2 linked regions of the Lonchura striata genome follow. The protein of the gene in region 1 purifies or fractionates together with the protein of each later gene. This does not show direct contact. Links are inferred from orthologs where the notes say so. Each region holds a gene or a part of one and is shown in the gene's direction. Other genes may lie near its edges.

What was found. The genes of interacting proteins can lie anywhere in the genome.
Region 2: the proteins of CEP290 (region 1) and CCP110 purify together in Homo sapiens (co-immunoprecipitation; 6 studies listed by BioGRID and IntAct, with this or other methods). This does not show direct contact. The link is inferred for Lonchura striata from reciprocal best matches to the Homo sapiens genes CEP290 and CCP110.

The regions. Positions count from the first base shown.
Region 1 is NC_134607.1:51,705,081-51,712,757, reverse strand, and holds the start of CEP290 (centrosomal protein of 290 kDa), read left to right. Parts: upstream 1-4,601; 5' UTR 4,602-4,848; intron 4,849-5,252; 5' UTR 5,253-5,469; intron 5,470-6,883; 5' UTR 6,884-6,940; intron 6,941-7,464; 5' UTR 7,465-7,488; coding exon 7,489-7,590; intron 7,591-7,677. UniProt on the Homo sapiens protein: Involved in early and late steps in cilia formation. Its association with CCP110 is required for inhibition of primary cilia formation by CCP110.
Region 2 is NC_134618.1:10,063,371-10,070,703, forward strand, and holds the start of CCP110 (centriolar coiled-coil protein of 110 kDa), read left to right. Parts: upstream 1-4,326; 5' UTR 4,327-4,451; intron 4,452-5,119; 5' UTR 5,120-5,255; intron 5,256-6,360; exon of another isoform or gene 6,361-6,446; intron 6,447-6,528; exon of another isoform or gene 6,529-6,651; intron 6,652-7,228; 5' UTR 7,229-7,238; coding exon 7,239-7,333. Other genes in the region: GDE1 (glycerophosphodiester phosphodiesterase 1), read right to left, coding at 95-187, 866-971, 2,619-2,794, 3,993-4,247.

The DNA.
Region 1 (7,677 bases):
TTACTACTTCTGACTTGCATTCTGGCATTCTAAGGTCTTATTTTCTTGAAATGTACCATAATGATACACAGAGTTACGAAAATTACTTTTTTCCACCTGCTTTGATTACAGGGTACTTTTAATGCTTTTGCTGACTTAAAGCATAAATATGGAATAAAAAAATTGCATTCCTTTATGTTAGCATAACAATGCAGATTTTGAGCAAGTCTTGCCATCAGAACTACCACCTCCTATCTGCTACTGTAGCTGGGTCCACCTTCACACTCCAAACTCCAAACCTGCAATGATCACCAACATGTTGAGAATGCAAAACTAAAGCAGAGGTTTATAAAAGATCATCTGTACTTGGTAAGCCAGGCGAAAGTATGACTGCCATTAAACTCAGTGGAAAACAGCAACTGCTTCTTGGCAACCAAAATTGCTTTCACACCAACCAATCTATTATCAGTTTGATGTTGGAAAGTAAGAAGCCATGTAAGGAGTATATAAGACTGAGATCCTTGCAAATCACAGACGTGCAAGAGGCTGCTGAAGCCTTGATATGACTGGGCTGCTCACGTGAGTGGAAATAATTCTCCTTCTTATACCCAAGTGACATGCTGATCAACCCAAGTATGGTCTTGCAAGTGCCAGAACTTCACATCCAGTGATGGATGTATTTGATAAACACCTGCAAAATGTTGCTTAACAACTTCTTTGTTAAAAGAGACTTGCTGCAAGGGTGAACTGCCCTTGTTCCACATCACTGCCTAGTCCTAAACATGCAAACAGACTGAACATCCCTCAGGTTATTTTTTCATCTCACCTACCTACTACTTTGACAGCTTCTAAGACTGCCCCTCAGATACCTTAACCACCCCTTGGGTATGACTGCCAGCTTTTGGTCTAGTGCACAGCCACAGACTGGATGAAATCAGGACAGACATACTATATTACAAAGACTTCTATTGGATACTTTAATTTACAACAATATCTGACCATCATGAAGAATATACAGATGAAAACAATGAACAGCAAGGTAAACCTTGATAGTCAGAAAATGCACTGTAGTCATCAGAGTCAACTGCAAAAGAAAGAATACCCAGGCTGCAAAACAGCCTATCATTGGACTAAATTTCTGAGGCTGTTTGGCACAGAAATCTGCACTTTGCACTGCACCATTTTCACATTTGTACAGAGACATTAAATGGAAAGGACAAAATAGAACCAGAACTCTCAAGTCCATTTGGCTCATAAAGTACATAGTTTTCCTGTTCCAGCTTCTTGAGATCAATCTAATACTTCACGCAGTCTTCAAGAATAACAGACAAGAGTAAAACGTAAGAGTCTCACAAAACTGAAAAAAAGCACCGAGAAAAAACAAAGTAACAACGACCAAAATAGTCAAAGCACTTTTAGAATATAAGAAAACACAAACATACATTTAAATTTGTTTCTTCTATTGAGTAATGGCACTTGCATGGATTGAAAGGCATTAACAACGTGCTAAGCCAATTTACTAAAGAATAATGAGGCAATACTGGATATTTATGTACTAGACACAAACTTTATTCATCACTGAAGGTTCTGAACTGCTTAGAACATTATTTACAGTTCACGCAAAAAACCTTCAAATTATCAAAGGTGATAAAGTTAAAAGCTGTTAAAACCACTCCTAGGGTTACTTTTATTTTTAAATAGGTGAGCAACTATTTTTAAACAGGTGAGCAACTAGTTCATCTAAGAGCTGGTAGCTGAACATCAGCAGAGATATATACAAACCGCTGGTACAGTCACTTACAAATTAGGATATTAGCACAGCCTCAGAAGCTGAATTAAAATGATATTTTTATTTCCTACTTGCTAGCCTTTGCTTATTTTTGCCACTTCCAAGACACAACTCCAATATGAAGCAACTTAGATGCACAGCTGAGATTGGGCTTGAATCTCATCTAGAAAACAAGTATTTGGAAATATGAAAGGAGAAATAATACAAAACATGCCTGAATTTCCTTTTTATCTTGCTGAAATCCTAAACCAGGATAAATATTACACGAAAAGTTTTATTGTGAAAACCTTCTGCAAGGTTTTCACTACCAGATCAAGAGGCATGGGACTACTAGGAAATACTCTTCACTATATAGGAAGCTCATGGCCTCCAGCCTTCTCTTCACATGGTTCTGAAGGATTAATGAGAAGAGCACTGGAAGTTCTGATACAAAGTCAGAACACGTGTTGCAAGCCAGATGAAAGATCTCCCACTGGAAAAGAACTTGCTGGCCACCTGGCGGCTGGACTAACAGTTGTGACATCTTAGGTTACTCTGATGAAACAAGGACCAAAATGTAACACAGTTTAAAATGGGTGAGACAAAGATACTGATTTAGCTGGTGGTTTATCTTCAATTTGTTCAATGTAACTGGTACATGCCACTTGAAATATAAACCACACAGGTCTTGCTTGTACTTTAAGGACTTAGAAACTTAAATTAGTAACAGAATCTCACATTTCAATGTTAAACAGTAGCAAAATAATACCCAGTCTGTTTAGTGACTACATAAAACATCTTTTGTGGCCTTACTGATACAAAAAGTGTCTCTAAAATAACACTTATCGCTCTCAGTGTTCCAGAAATGCAACAGCAGAAACTGCTTGCTTGTTTACTCCAAAGAATAAATGAACAAAAGCTACATGTGAGGTATAAACTGAGAACACAGCCTTTAGACTCTGCTACTCTGTCCTTACTTACGCTGGGTCTGTATACGATTTCCTCCGTACTTTAAATAACATTCCATTAGGCTTTTCAGGGTGAGGTTTTTCTGTTAGGTCTTTGCAAGGGCACACTGTTATCAAAGCTGTGATTTAACAAGTATGCCTAACTCTTCTAACAGAGTAGGTCAAACCGCTCACTGTGCAGTTGAATTTATTTATTGGCTCCAGAACTGTAAGTATCTAATCCCACTAAAAGAAGATTCACTTACACAAAGTTCATCATATGAAGTGGTGCAAAACATAAGAAAAACTAATTTACTTGGTCCATGCCATGCTGTATTTTGAATATTTTCATTTTCATTTGGCATTAATACTTCAATTCCTTTTACTGTTTTTTAACTTTTGGAGTTCCCATGCCAGCTTCAAATCCAAATACCTTTTACTTCTGCACCAATGGTCTTTACTAGCTGCACTACACAATTGAAACCCAGATATGGTTTCACTACCAGTAAATGTAATAACATGCTCTCTGCTGATTCTGCAACAGAACACTCAAAAATGCTGATGCATATTAAATAAAGTACATTAAATAGCTACACTGGCATTAACAACTGGTTATGATGATGATGATTTTAAAAAAAACCTCCTATACAGAAGCATTCTAGCATCAATGGAATATTTTCTCTACCACAGAAATATTCCTTTCCTGAAGGCTTAGTTTGTGACTAAGGTGACATTATTTTCTGTGTCACTTCCTATACCTATAAAATTCCCTGCTACTAAGAAATCATTGTTTTACACTTAATCATAATTAATTTTATAATTTTTTAATTTTTAGTAACATTACCCATTCATTAAATATACCCAGTCTTCTTCCCTTCCCTAAGTATACAGTTTGCTTTCTGTACCTAATACAGAACTATAATTATCCAACCCCTAGCTGAGATATGGAAGTCTTTGGAGTTGTGCTGTGACTGGAACAACTGCATAACTATAAGGAGTGCAAGGCATTTTGCATCTTGTCAGTCTCTAGTAAACATCAACATGGATTAAGAGATAGCAAAACAACTGAAAACAATTATTAATCCAAAAAAAGGACGAAAAAAAAAGGACCTTTCTCTTACCATTAAAAAGAAACAAAAACCCCAAATCCACTTCAGCTCTCCACAGCTATTGAAAAAACAAATGCAAAAAGATAAACACGCCTACAATGGTACTGTTTTTATTTGATAAGATGTTTTCACACCCATTTAACTAAAACACAGGATCCCAAACTTCCTCCGTTATCAGACCACAACCAAAACTCAGACTTGCTGGCTAACAGTACCCAATGGATTCAAGTAGTTTATAGGTGTGATTTTTCCCGTGCCTTCCGGCCCCCACTGTTCCCTCCGTATTCCCAAAGCACAGGCGCACCCGGGCAGCCGCCGGCCGGGCAGGAACCGACACGCTGCCCGCAGCTTGGGGCGAGGCAGGGAAGGAAAGGGCAGGCTGGGCGGCGGAGCCAGGGCGCGGTCCCGGACGCCGCTCAAGCGCCGTGGCAGCGGTCGGGGCCGCCCGGCAGCGCGGCAGGCGCGGGTGCCCAGCGACGCGGCACGGCGGGCACGGCCGGCGGACCGAAACCACCGCGGGCAGCAGCTACACCGGACCCCTCCACCCTCCCTTCCTCCCCCCATCCCCGGCAAGGCCCGTGGCGGGCCGCAGGGGCCGTGCCCGCCCTACCTGAGGCCGGGACAAACACCGGGACCGGGACCGGGACCGCGGCCCCGCCGCCGGAACCGACACCCACCGCGCGCGCCGCCGCCGCCGCACACGGCGCACGCGCGCCGCGCCGCTCTCCGCCCCCTAGAGGCTGTCGGGAAAAAGGCGGGCGGTGCGGTCGGCCCGGATGCATGCCGGGAGCTGTAGTCCCGTAGACCCCGCCCGGTGGCGGGGGCGGCGCTAGGGGCCGTTGCCCCGGCGAAGCGGCGCTGTCGGCGGGGATCGCGCCCTGCCCGCTTGGCTGCCCATCGGGACCGGGAGAGCCCGCTTGGCGCCGTGGGGCTTGTCTGTGGGTGCCACGGAAGCGCTGACTTTCCCTGCGCCCACGAGTATCCGGATCTGCGGGAGAGTCCGATGGCGTCGCCTGGCAGCGGCCACCGTCATCCCCCGGGAGCGGTGAGGCCACGGGGCGGGGGGTGCTCCGGGCAAGGAGACCGAAGCTGCCGCAGCCCGAGCGGCCCGCGCTCCGCCGGGAGCCCCGGGCCGGGGGCGGCGGGGCTCTCCGCTCCTGCGGGCCCCGGGCGGCGCGGGCGGCGGAGCCCGCGGCTGGAGCGACCGCCGCGTCTGCCCGCGGCTGCTGCTCTGCGCGCCTCGCTGCGGGGGCGAGTGCAGAATAAGGCAAACTGTTAGTTCAGTAGAGCTGCGATGAAACGGGGACAAAGCTGTCTCAGCAGCATCCTGGAGGGATCCCGGGCTGTCACTGTATCCTGTGTCTGGGGTATGCCAAACAGGAAACAATGGGAACCTGCGAAGATCCTCTCTTGATTGGGGTTTTGTAATTAAGATCTTGTGCTTCGCAGAGCTACTCCGGGTAAATGCAATTTGAAAGTCGAAAGCAGCTTAAACTGGAATACCCAGTGTAAACAAATGCGGAGTTAGCAGATCACATCTCCCGCGTGACTGTGGTGCTTCTTGATGTTAAGTCTCCCTCCTGTGCACATTACTCTGCTGCCCATTATACACACCCTGGTGGGAAAAGGTCAGCTCTTCCCAGTGGTGCTTGATCTCACTGCAATGGTAAGATATTTCCATGTGAGCTTGGCTCGCGTGGTTTCCTGTAGTCAGACCAGGGCACTGTTGTTCTGGTAGTACTTGAGCATACCCTCCAGACTTCCTTTTCCATCTAAGTCTGCTGAACTTTATCTGGCCGTTTTATGTGTGCTTAATTCCCTGGATAAATCCAGAAAATCTTGTGGTAACTAATACCAAATCCCCATCTATTTCACACATTTTGTAGACCCATGAGCTCAGCGCTTCATCACATGGATCATCTGTTTACTAAAACCACGGGTTTTAGTTGATGACAACAGATGAGCAAAATGATGAAAAACTTTTCACTTAAATAAATTCTTTCACACTATGTATATACTGTGGAACATAATCCGTGCATAGGTTGTGCCCCCCTACTTTACTGTAGCTGCTCTCCCACCAAGTTGGATTCAGTTGTTTATGTACAATTCAATTATGTTTTATCCTTCTGGATAAAACTTTAGGACTGATATTTTCTTAGGACATTATTTTGTAAGCTAAGGGGAAAAGATATATGAAGAGATGGAAGGTAGGAAAGGATTAACAGTAGTGAGTTTGTGTGTTTGCTTTCAGAATAGTTTTGATTGTTGAGCATTTAAAAATCCTAAATTTTACATCTCATTACTTAAGAAAAAATGAATGTGTTTAAGACTTTTGATCCTTAGACAAGTATGTTGCTGAAATCAAGTAGTATTCAGTTAACTGAATGAGTCAAAGTGCCAGTATTCTCCTTGGATTATCCTTTGCCATTACAACAAAACAGAAAAGCAATAATGTATACAAGGTGTTATCCTTGTGAAGTCATGGGTTGAATATAATACATGTTATATGATTAGCAAATATTGAAGAAATTTAGTAAATATAGGGGACCTTTCAAGTAGTTCACATACTCAGAAAGGATGAAGGTTTTTTTTATCCTCCATTAAGTGTACAGTTGTATTTCTGTGACAGCTCTTCTTTCGGAGTGCTTAGACATATTTGTTTTGGAAAGTAATATCAGTTTCAGCCTTTTATTAATGAAGGAGGTTTCAGTTGTTGAGTCTTTAAACTGCTGAATGAGGAACAGGGTGTGTGCTGGATCAGATCTCAAAATGCTGTATTCCGTATACAGCATTGCTGAAGTTATTGATTGAGCTTGATTTTTTCCTATAAAATATATACCCCTGCTGTGTCATTAGTTTTTTTGAATAATACTGCATTTACTATTGTAGTTAGCTTTATTTCTTTCTTAATTTTTATTAACCATTTGTGCTATAATAATAATTTAGGGCAATAAGTCGATTAAATATATTCTGTTCTAAATTTGGCAGAATTTACTTTTTGAAATATTGATCAGAAAGTCTAGAGACAGCTCCAAAGAACAGAATAATCCAAGATTTCCTATCCCTTCTGCCTTTTTCAGATACTGCATTGACTTTCAGGTATGTGAGAAATCACTGTGGCCCACAACAACCAGTAGGTAAGCAGTAGAAAAAGCTTTACACCACTTTCTGATGAGATTTTTCTCAGTTTCCAGGTTTATTAATGTCCTTTGTCAATTCAAGTATTCTAACCAAAAATAAATGTTTAATACAATGTCAAGAAGTTGGTGCTCACAGTATCAAACTGAAAGTGTTGTGTTTTAAATATTAGAGATAATAATTCTTGTGTTTGTTCACTGGCATAAAAATACCAAATTAAAAGATAGGGAAGAAAACAAGGATATTGAAGTTAACATACAGGTTTCATGTGTGTCCTGATCTTCACTAATAGTTTTAAGAATTCATTGAGTACGGATGGTGTAATTCTTAACATAAAGAAAAAGTATTTTTATTATAGCCTCCTAGATTGCAATAGATCAAAATGTGAACAGAATGTTGATCAGTGTTACAGTTATTAGAAGTCATCTGGTGTGTTCAGTGGCCAGCCTCCATTAAATCATTTGACCTAAAATTGGTTTGCACTGATAATACCTGATAACTGTTATTTTAATCTTTGTTCCAGGAAAAAAGAAGTCATACCTTCAATATGGCACCTGTTTTAGATTGGAGGAAGCTCATGAAAGTTGATCCAGATACTCTGCCTCATCAAGAGGAGCTAGCAGACAGATTGCTGGATATCATGGTCAAGGTGCTTGAGAAGAAGGGAACTTGAGGGTTTTGTTGTACCTTCTTCCCTAAACCATTTCTGGTCCTTCACATGCATGAAAGATTTATT
Region 2 (7,333 bases), on another chromosome or scaffold:
GCCAAAAAGTAATCTGGAACTGGGAGGTTAATACCATAGTGAAATTCCCAGACAGGACTAAAGAAATTAAAAATAAACTTTTAGGAAACATCACCTTATAAACAACGTCTGGCATGAAAGAACAGACAATGCTGCTGTTATACAACTGTGGAAATTCCTGGTAGAGTTGTTTCAGGGCATCAACTGCCTGCAATTAGAGACACACAGAGATGTTATACACACACTCATATTTAATTTACACTGCAAAGTCATTTTACAACAATCTTAAAAACACTTCCCTGCTGTGTTGCCAGATTGAAGTAGAAAGGGAGAAGAAAAATAGCATCTTGTTTATAGCATTAACACAGAAATGGTATTTTGGTTTTTAGCAAAAGAATTTCTGTTCATTATTTACAACGAGTAGGATTCTCAGTGTTTGAAATACCCTTAAATATGTCATGGATATAATTTTTTAGTACTACCTAAGCTTAAGTTGAAGAGGAAAATTATTTATTGCTATGTTTTGCTAAACTAAAGAAAGAAATTAATTTATATAAAATGTTAGTGATGGATCATTTGCATCTGCCTTCACTAATGCAAATTATAGATCCCTTTCTGGAGGCTGAAGATGAGGTTTTGACTCCCCTCAGCACCGCAGGGAATTCCCTTTGCTCTGTTTCACAGCAGTGCTGTGAGCTGAGTGCAACACTTGCACAAGGCTTGGGCAATTTTAAGCTGCAGCTTCCCAGGACAACTCTGGGTGACACAAGCAGCAGACCTGGGCTTGCTCATGTTAAAGAAGGGACTTGGTCTGAGACCAACACAACAGCAGGTCAGAAACCCAAAGAAGGGGTGAGGGGAGGTGTCATGCTGCAGTGAGCAGTACCTGGTTTGCATGGCCTTTGACATCGAAGTAGATTGTGAGATTGTGATGCATAGACTCCACAACAGCTTCTCTCAGAGTTGGTACCTTTTCATCTTGGAACTGGCTCCTGTAGAAACAGAGAACTCCTTGGAATGCAGCCAACACACACCTGCACATACATGGGCCTGCATATTGCCACCCACACAGGGCTGATTCCAGCACAGTTTGCTGCTGCACTGGAACTGCAGCTGGGATCCAGTGCTCACAGGCCCCGTGTCTGCCCCAAAACACCAGCCCCAGTTCTTCACCTCCTTCCCCAGATCCCACAAATAAGCTTTCAGTCCCAACTGCTGCCTTCCTCCTGCTCCCACTGCACTTCCCAGCCCTAGTCAGAAATGCAGATCCTGGCAGAACAGGCAAGACAAGCTGAGGATTTAGCAGAAGCAGCTTCACCCATTGTTACACTGTGACACGAAATAACTTTCAGAAGCAGGCTAGGTGTAAAAGGAAAGAAAACGAACTTTGAAAAGCAAACTTTATTTTCTAACTCCCCTATATATACAACATATATATATATAACACAAATATATATATATTTATATATATATATATAACAAAATGACAGCAGATTAGAGGGTGAAACTACCACCTCTCTAATTACACTAGTCAAACTAACAGTTCATCAATTCTCTCTACCTACAAAGAAAAACACAAAACAATCATTATTTGCATAAACAGTGTGTGAGAAAAATCAGTTAAAACATGTAAATATCAGAAAGTGTAAGAACTTTTAAAAGGACTTTAAAACTCTCAAAAAAAACCAAAGTAACAACCCATCAATAAATCATTCCTGATGGGGTGACAGTTCATTCACTCCTGACAGTGAACAGCAGCTGTTCAGCAGTCACTGCCTGTGGAAATTCCCCCTGCATGGCCCAAGTGATCACCCTTCCAGTGAGACAGGGAAGATACTCCTTGTGCCACACACTCACAGGAGGCACCTCTGCAGCTCTGGAATTCCCTAATACAGTGTCTCAGGAGCACACACTGCGAGTTCTTCCTCTGAAATGGACTCACTTATGATACTGCAGAAGTTGCCTTGTTATCAAATTCTTTGTAATTATATATTATATACATATATTATATGTATATATTATGTTATTATATGTATGTACTATTATATTATATACATATATTATATGTATATAACATTTTTATCAAATTCTTAGTAATGTATAAAAATATTTTCCCCTGCATACCCCTAGGAAGGACCTAATCAGCCACTAGGGTCACAGTGAGGCCACCACCCAAAATCTGTCCAGCTCCTCTTTAACAGTATAAACCTGATGTATAAGATCTCCAAAACACAATCAGTCAAGAAATACATGTGAATAAAACTAATCTTAGAAGTAATTCCTCTAGACAATTCTGACATATCATGAAAATCCCAGCACCTTCAGTGTCCTGCAGTCAATTTAGGACAAGCTTATGTAGATATTGACCTGTTTCACATCAGATGCCTGTGGATTTTGTCCTTGACTGTGTTTTTTTTTAATGTGTTTCACTGTTCTTAATCTACTGATGAGTAAAGAGATATAGTTTCATATGCCTAAAAAATCAAATTAGAAGTAATTTGACTAAGTTTTAGTCAAATTTTGGACTAAGTTTTAAATTAAAAGAAAAATTTAATCAGTGACAGATCAAATCAATAATGTTGTTCATCTAGAATTATTTTCCCACTGTCAAAAGTGTAATTTCAGAACAGTTCATTTACCGTAGCCTGTGTTTCGCAGATGGATCAAGCTTCCTGATTTCCTCAAAAGTCAGGTCCTGCAGTCTCCCAGCCCCATCAGTTGTCCTTTCAACTGTGTCATCGTGCATGAGGATGGGGACACCATCTGCACTAAATTCAAGATCCAGCTCCACACCCGTTGCTCCATTCTCAGCTGCCTTAAAAAAAATTTTAAAAATCACAACAGAAGAGACAGCTTTATAGATTTGACACAGGTACAGCTATAATTAGCTTGTATTTTGGTAAAAAATAATAAAACATTAATGGACTTTTCAGTTGTCTTCATCTGCAGAAAAAAAGTAGGTTTTATCCAAGTCATTGCTGAGCATTCAAAAATCAGCTGAACCATCTAATCTATTTTACAGCTGAAATCATAATGATTCTGCCTCAGTCTTGGGATTGGAACTTTCAGGATAAAAATGCAGAAAAGAATCCTGCTCTCTCCTGATGTAATAACCCTGGAGTCCTTATGTTATTTTCTAAAAGACAAGAGAAGCAAATGTCTACACTTTAACATGCAGTCAACGCTGTTCACCACGTGTATTCCAAGCAGCAGATGGATGGCAAATCCCTGCTCCTCTCAGGAATGGCTTTATCACAGAGCAAGAAGCAGCCAGGCTGCCTTAGAACATTTCATACACCCTGTTCCTGCCCTGGATCTTTCCCAAAAGCTCTTTAGAAAAACATTTGAGTAAAGTGTTAACAACACCAATTGCTCTGAAGGACAAATGCCCTCCTGGGAAAAGGGACAAACACCGGGTACAGAGGTTGCCTCCAGGTGTCTGCTTTGTAAGGAGTGTGCAGCTTCAGAATTTATCAGGACTGAGAATCCTGTCTCACACAAAGGCAAGAGATCCTCAGAGCAGCAACGTCTCAGCCTCACAGAAACACTACATTCCAGAGACTGGTAATCACTATCTCAAATGATTCTCAGAAAGAGACTGTGAATCCTGGCTGTGCCTTGGTGCCTTGCAGATGAGGCAGCAGTAAGGCATGGCAGGGCTGCCCACAGTGAATCTGGCACCAGAATTTTCTCCTAAATGTGGATTTTCATCACAGATCTTCAAGGTTTAAAAAAACACACAACCAGTTCCTGACTTGCTGTGCACTCTCTGTGTGCTGTTGCTACATCAGGGAAATCCAGTATTTCATTACTGCTGCACGGCTGAGTTACCCATCAGCACCAAGGCTACAACAGTTCCCACAAGAGCCGGATCTGAAGTTCCCTTTGGGATGAAGGACCCCCCGCCCACCCAGCTTCCAGCAGCTCTGGAAGGACGGCCGAGTTATCCGGGCGAGGGCGGCTCGCCGCGGGAGGGGCGGATCGGCAGGCAAAGCCCCGGGGCCCGCGCTGACCTGTCGGATGGCCGCCAGCGTGTTCTCGGGCGCGTCGTGCGCGCCGCCGCGGTGCGCGATGCGGCCGGCGGCGCCGCGGGGCCGCAGCACGCGCTGCGCGCTCTGGGGCGCCGCGGGCTCCAGCGCCAAGAGCTGCAGCGCCAGGTACAGCCCGGCCGGCAGCAGGCAGGCCAGCGCCGGGCTGCGGCTCAGCGCCAGCGCCAGCACCAGCAGAGCCGTCAGCGGGCTCAGCAGGCCCTCCCCGTGGCACAGCATGGCGCGGCCGGGGCCGGGGCCGGGCCGGGGTCACGGCCGCTGTCGGGCCGGAACCGCGGCCGCCGTCTCGCCGACGGTGACGGCGGCGCCATCAGCCAATCAGCACTCGGCTGTCTGCCGCAGCAGCCAATCAGCGCCCGCAGTGTCCGCGCGGCGCCCGCCTGCCGCGCTGAGGGCGGGCCCGGGCCCCAGGCTCCTCCTCAGGTAACGCCGGGAGCGGCGTGCGGGAAGAGGCTGTGCCTGATGGACACTGAGGGGAATAGGGGCTGTGCCTGATGGACACTGAGGGGAGCGGCAGGGGCTGTGCCTTAAGGACACTGAGGGGAATAAGGGCTGTGCCTGATGGACACTGAGGGGAATAGGGGCTGTGCCTGATGGACACTGAGGGGAGCGGCAGGGGCTGTGCCTTAAGGACACTGAGGGGAATAGGGGCTGTGCCTGATGGACACTGAGAGAAACAAACAGGGGCTGTGCCTGATGGACACTGAGGGAAATAAGGACTGTGCCTGATGGAACACGGGGCACTGACGGAAACAGGGGTTGTCTGATGGAACATGGGCTCTGCGTGAAACAAAGGCTGTTCCTGATGGAACACTGAGTGAAACAAAGGCTGTTCCTGATGGAACACGGGGCTCTGAGGGAAGCGGGGTGTTCCTGATGGAACATGGTGCGGATGAAAGTGAAGGGTGCTAATGGAAGGAAAGGCAGCGCTGTCCAGGGAGTCGCAGAACACCCGTGTGGATGGAAAGTGTTGAGGGCTCTCCGCAGCTATGCCAGCTAGCTAATTAGAAACATAACATCCATAGTGATTATTTTCCAGCTGTTTGCTGGGTTTGTTATAGACAGTGTTATATATAGTGTGTTCTATGCAGCCGTGCCTGTCCGCAGGCCAGCCCGGGAGCCGTGGGAGGAGCAGGCGGTGCCTCCTGCCCGGCCAGAGGCGGCTGCTGGCCAGGGAGCGCGGCTCCGGCCACCCGACACCTGTGAACATCCGCCAAGAACCCAGAGGTGAGCAACAAGGCACGAAAACAACCGGTTAAGTGAAGGGTGGGGAACCTGAGCAGGATTAGTCTAGAAGTGGGATAGCAAAGTGAGGAACTAGCAGTTTGTGTTGATGTGACTGGGGGGTTTGACCCTCTTTGGGTATCTGTGGGAAGTATGGGAAGCAACTGACTTTCCAGTGAGGAGCTCTGTCCAACTAGAGGTAGAACAGGCACAAGACCATGTTCTGAATGGTTGTAGTTTTTTTTTTTTTTTTTTTTTTTTTTTTTTTTGGTTTAGTTTTGTTTTTTGTTTAAATTGCTGAGATGAAGATTTGTCACATAATGTCCTAGCTGGTTCTGAGCATCTCAGATACTCTGTTAGTGGCTTTGCGCTTCTGCCAGGTGTAGCTGAAGAAAAATCAGAGATATACATGCAATTGCACAACAATTAATGGGCTGTCTAATTAGATGTCTAACATACTTTTAAAACCTTTTGATAAACAATAGCATTTGTTAAGATTAAAGATGAAATTTAAAAAAATAAATCCCCTCAATGATCGCTGAAGAGGTAACAGATGATGAACTTATTTTTTGAAACTAGAATGACAGCTTTAACAGCTCTAAATGCTGGGAATTAGATGCGTCCATATATTTAAATTAATTATGCCTGGCAAACAAGTGTGGATTTCCCTTCCACCTGACCTGCCTGACAGGTGAGTGTTACCTGCTGCTGGACTGGCTAGACCGGCAGCTGGCTGCAGCCCGGGCGGGAGGGATAGGATGTCTGGTGATGCCCGCATGGATGCTGTCCTGGTGGATGCTGTCCTCGCAGAGCATGGCAACAGGTGCTCACCTTTATCTCTCTTATCTTAGCGTGCTCGCTGAAACTGATACCTGCAGCGGCACATCCACAGGGACCGCACAGCCGTGTGGTCTGTAATGGGATGAAGCAGAACAGATCACACCCGTGCTCGCAGGGGAGCTTATCTGGGGGAGCTGTGGGTGGAAATGGGAGCTGCGGGACGGCGCTGCAGCCCCTGTCACCGGGCTGGGCCGGGGCTGCCTTCGCTGTCCCGCGGTGCGAGCGCACACGGTGTCGGCGGCGCCGGGCCCCCGTGCTCTGGGGGCGGAGCGGCGGGCGGGGCGCGCCGGGCCCGTGGAGCGGCGGCCCGGCCGTTGCGCGGCGGTTGCCGGAGCTGCCGCCAGTCCCGCGCAGGTACCGAGCGTTGGACGGGCCCGGGCCCGGGGGGAGCGCCGGGGCGGGGCGGGCGTGCATCGGCCCCGGCTGGGGCGGGCTCCGTGCCCCGCAGCGGCGGGCAGGAACCGGCCGAAGCGGCGTGCCGGCGAACAAAGCCTTGTCAGGCCTTGCCCGGCGCTGCGGGGCTCGCTCCGGTGGGGACGGGCAGTGAGACATCTTTCAGGTATTTGGCCGCTTTTAAGGATACGAGGCTGCAATTTGATTTTTTTTTTTTTTTCTTTGTGATGTAAGTATTGGCGTCTGTTCATACAGACGTGGAAGCTCGCGGGAGTGAGACACGAATTCCTCTCAGCCCCCTAAACATATAAAGGCTTTTTATTTTTTTTTAATTTTTTTTTTTAATTCAATTGGGCTGCAGGTTTGTTTGGGCCGGGTTTTGGGGTTTTTGTAACAATTGATAGGATGTGTCTCGTTGTGGAAGATCTCAAAGGTTTAGTCTTTGATGGAAATTATCTATAGTAGGTACAGTTTTGTAAATCCTAATTATCACAATGCGTGCTTTCTTCTCTGTGTGCCCGTGATCATAATTTTTGCTCTTACATGCAGATTCTCCTTTAATAGGGGAAAATAAGGAAGAATTTTGCAGGCTTTGTTAATGGTAGAAAGAAGACAAACTTAATTCAGTTTTCTAACGTAGAATTTGCTTCCCAAAACGTAGAGACACAGAATTAGTGGTGTTATTGTTTTCCCCTTCAGTGTCTTGGAAGTACATGGATGAGTAATGTTATTATTCTTTGCAGGTTAGACAACATGAAGATGGAGGACTATGAAATATTCTGTAGGAAGCATCTTTCCAGAATCCAAGAAGAGGCAATAAAAGGAAAAACCTCCTTGACTGTTCAGAA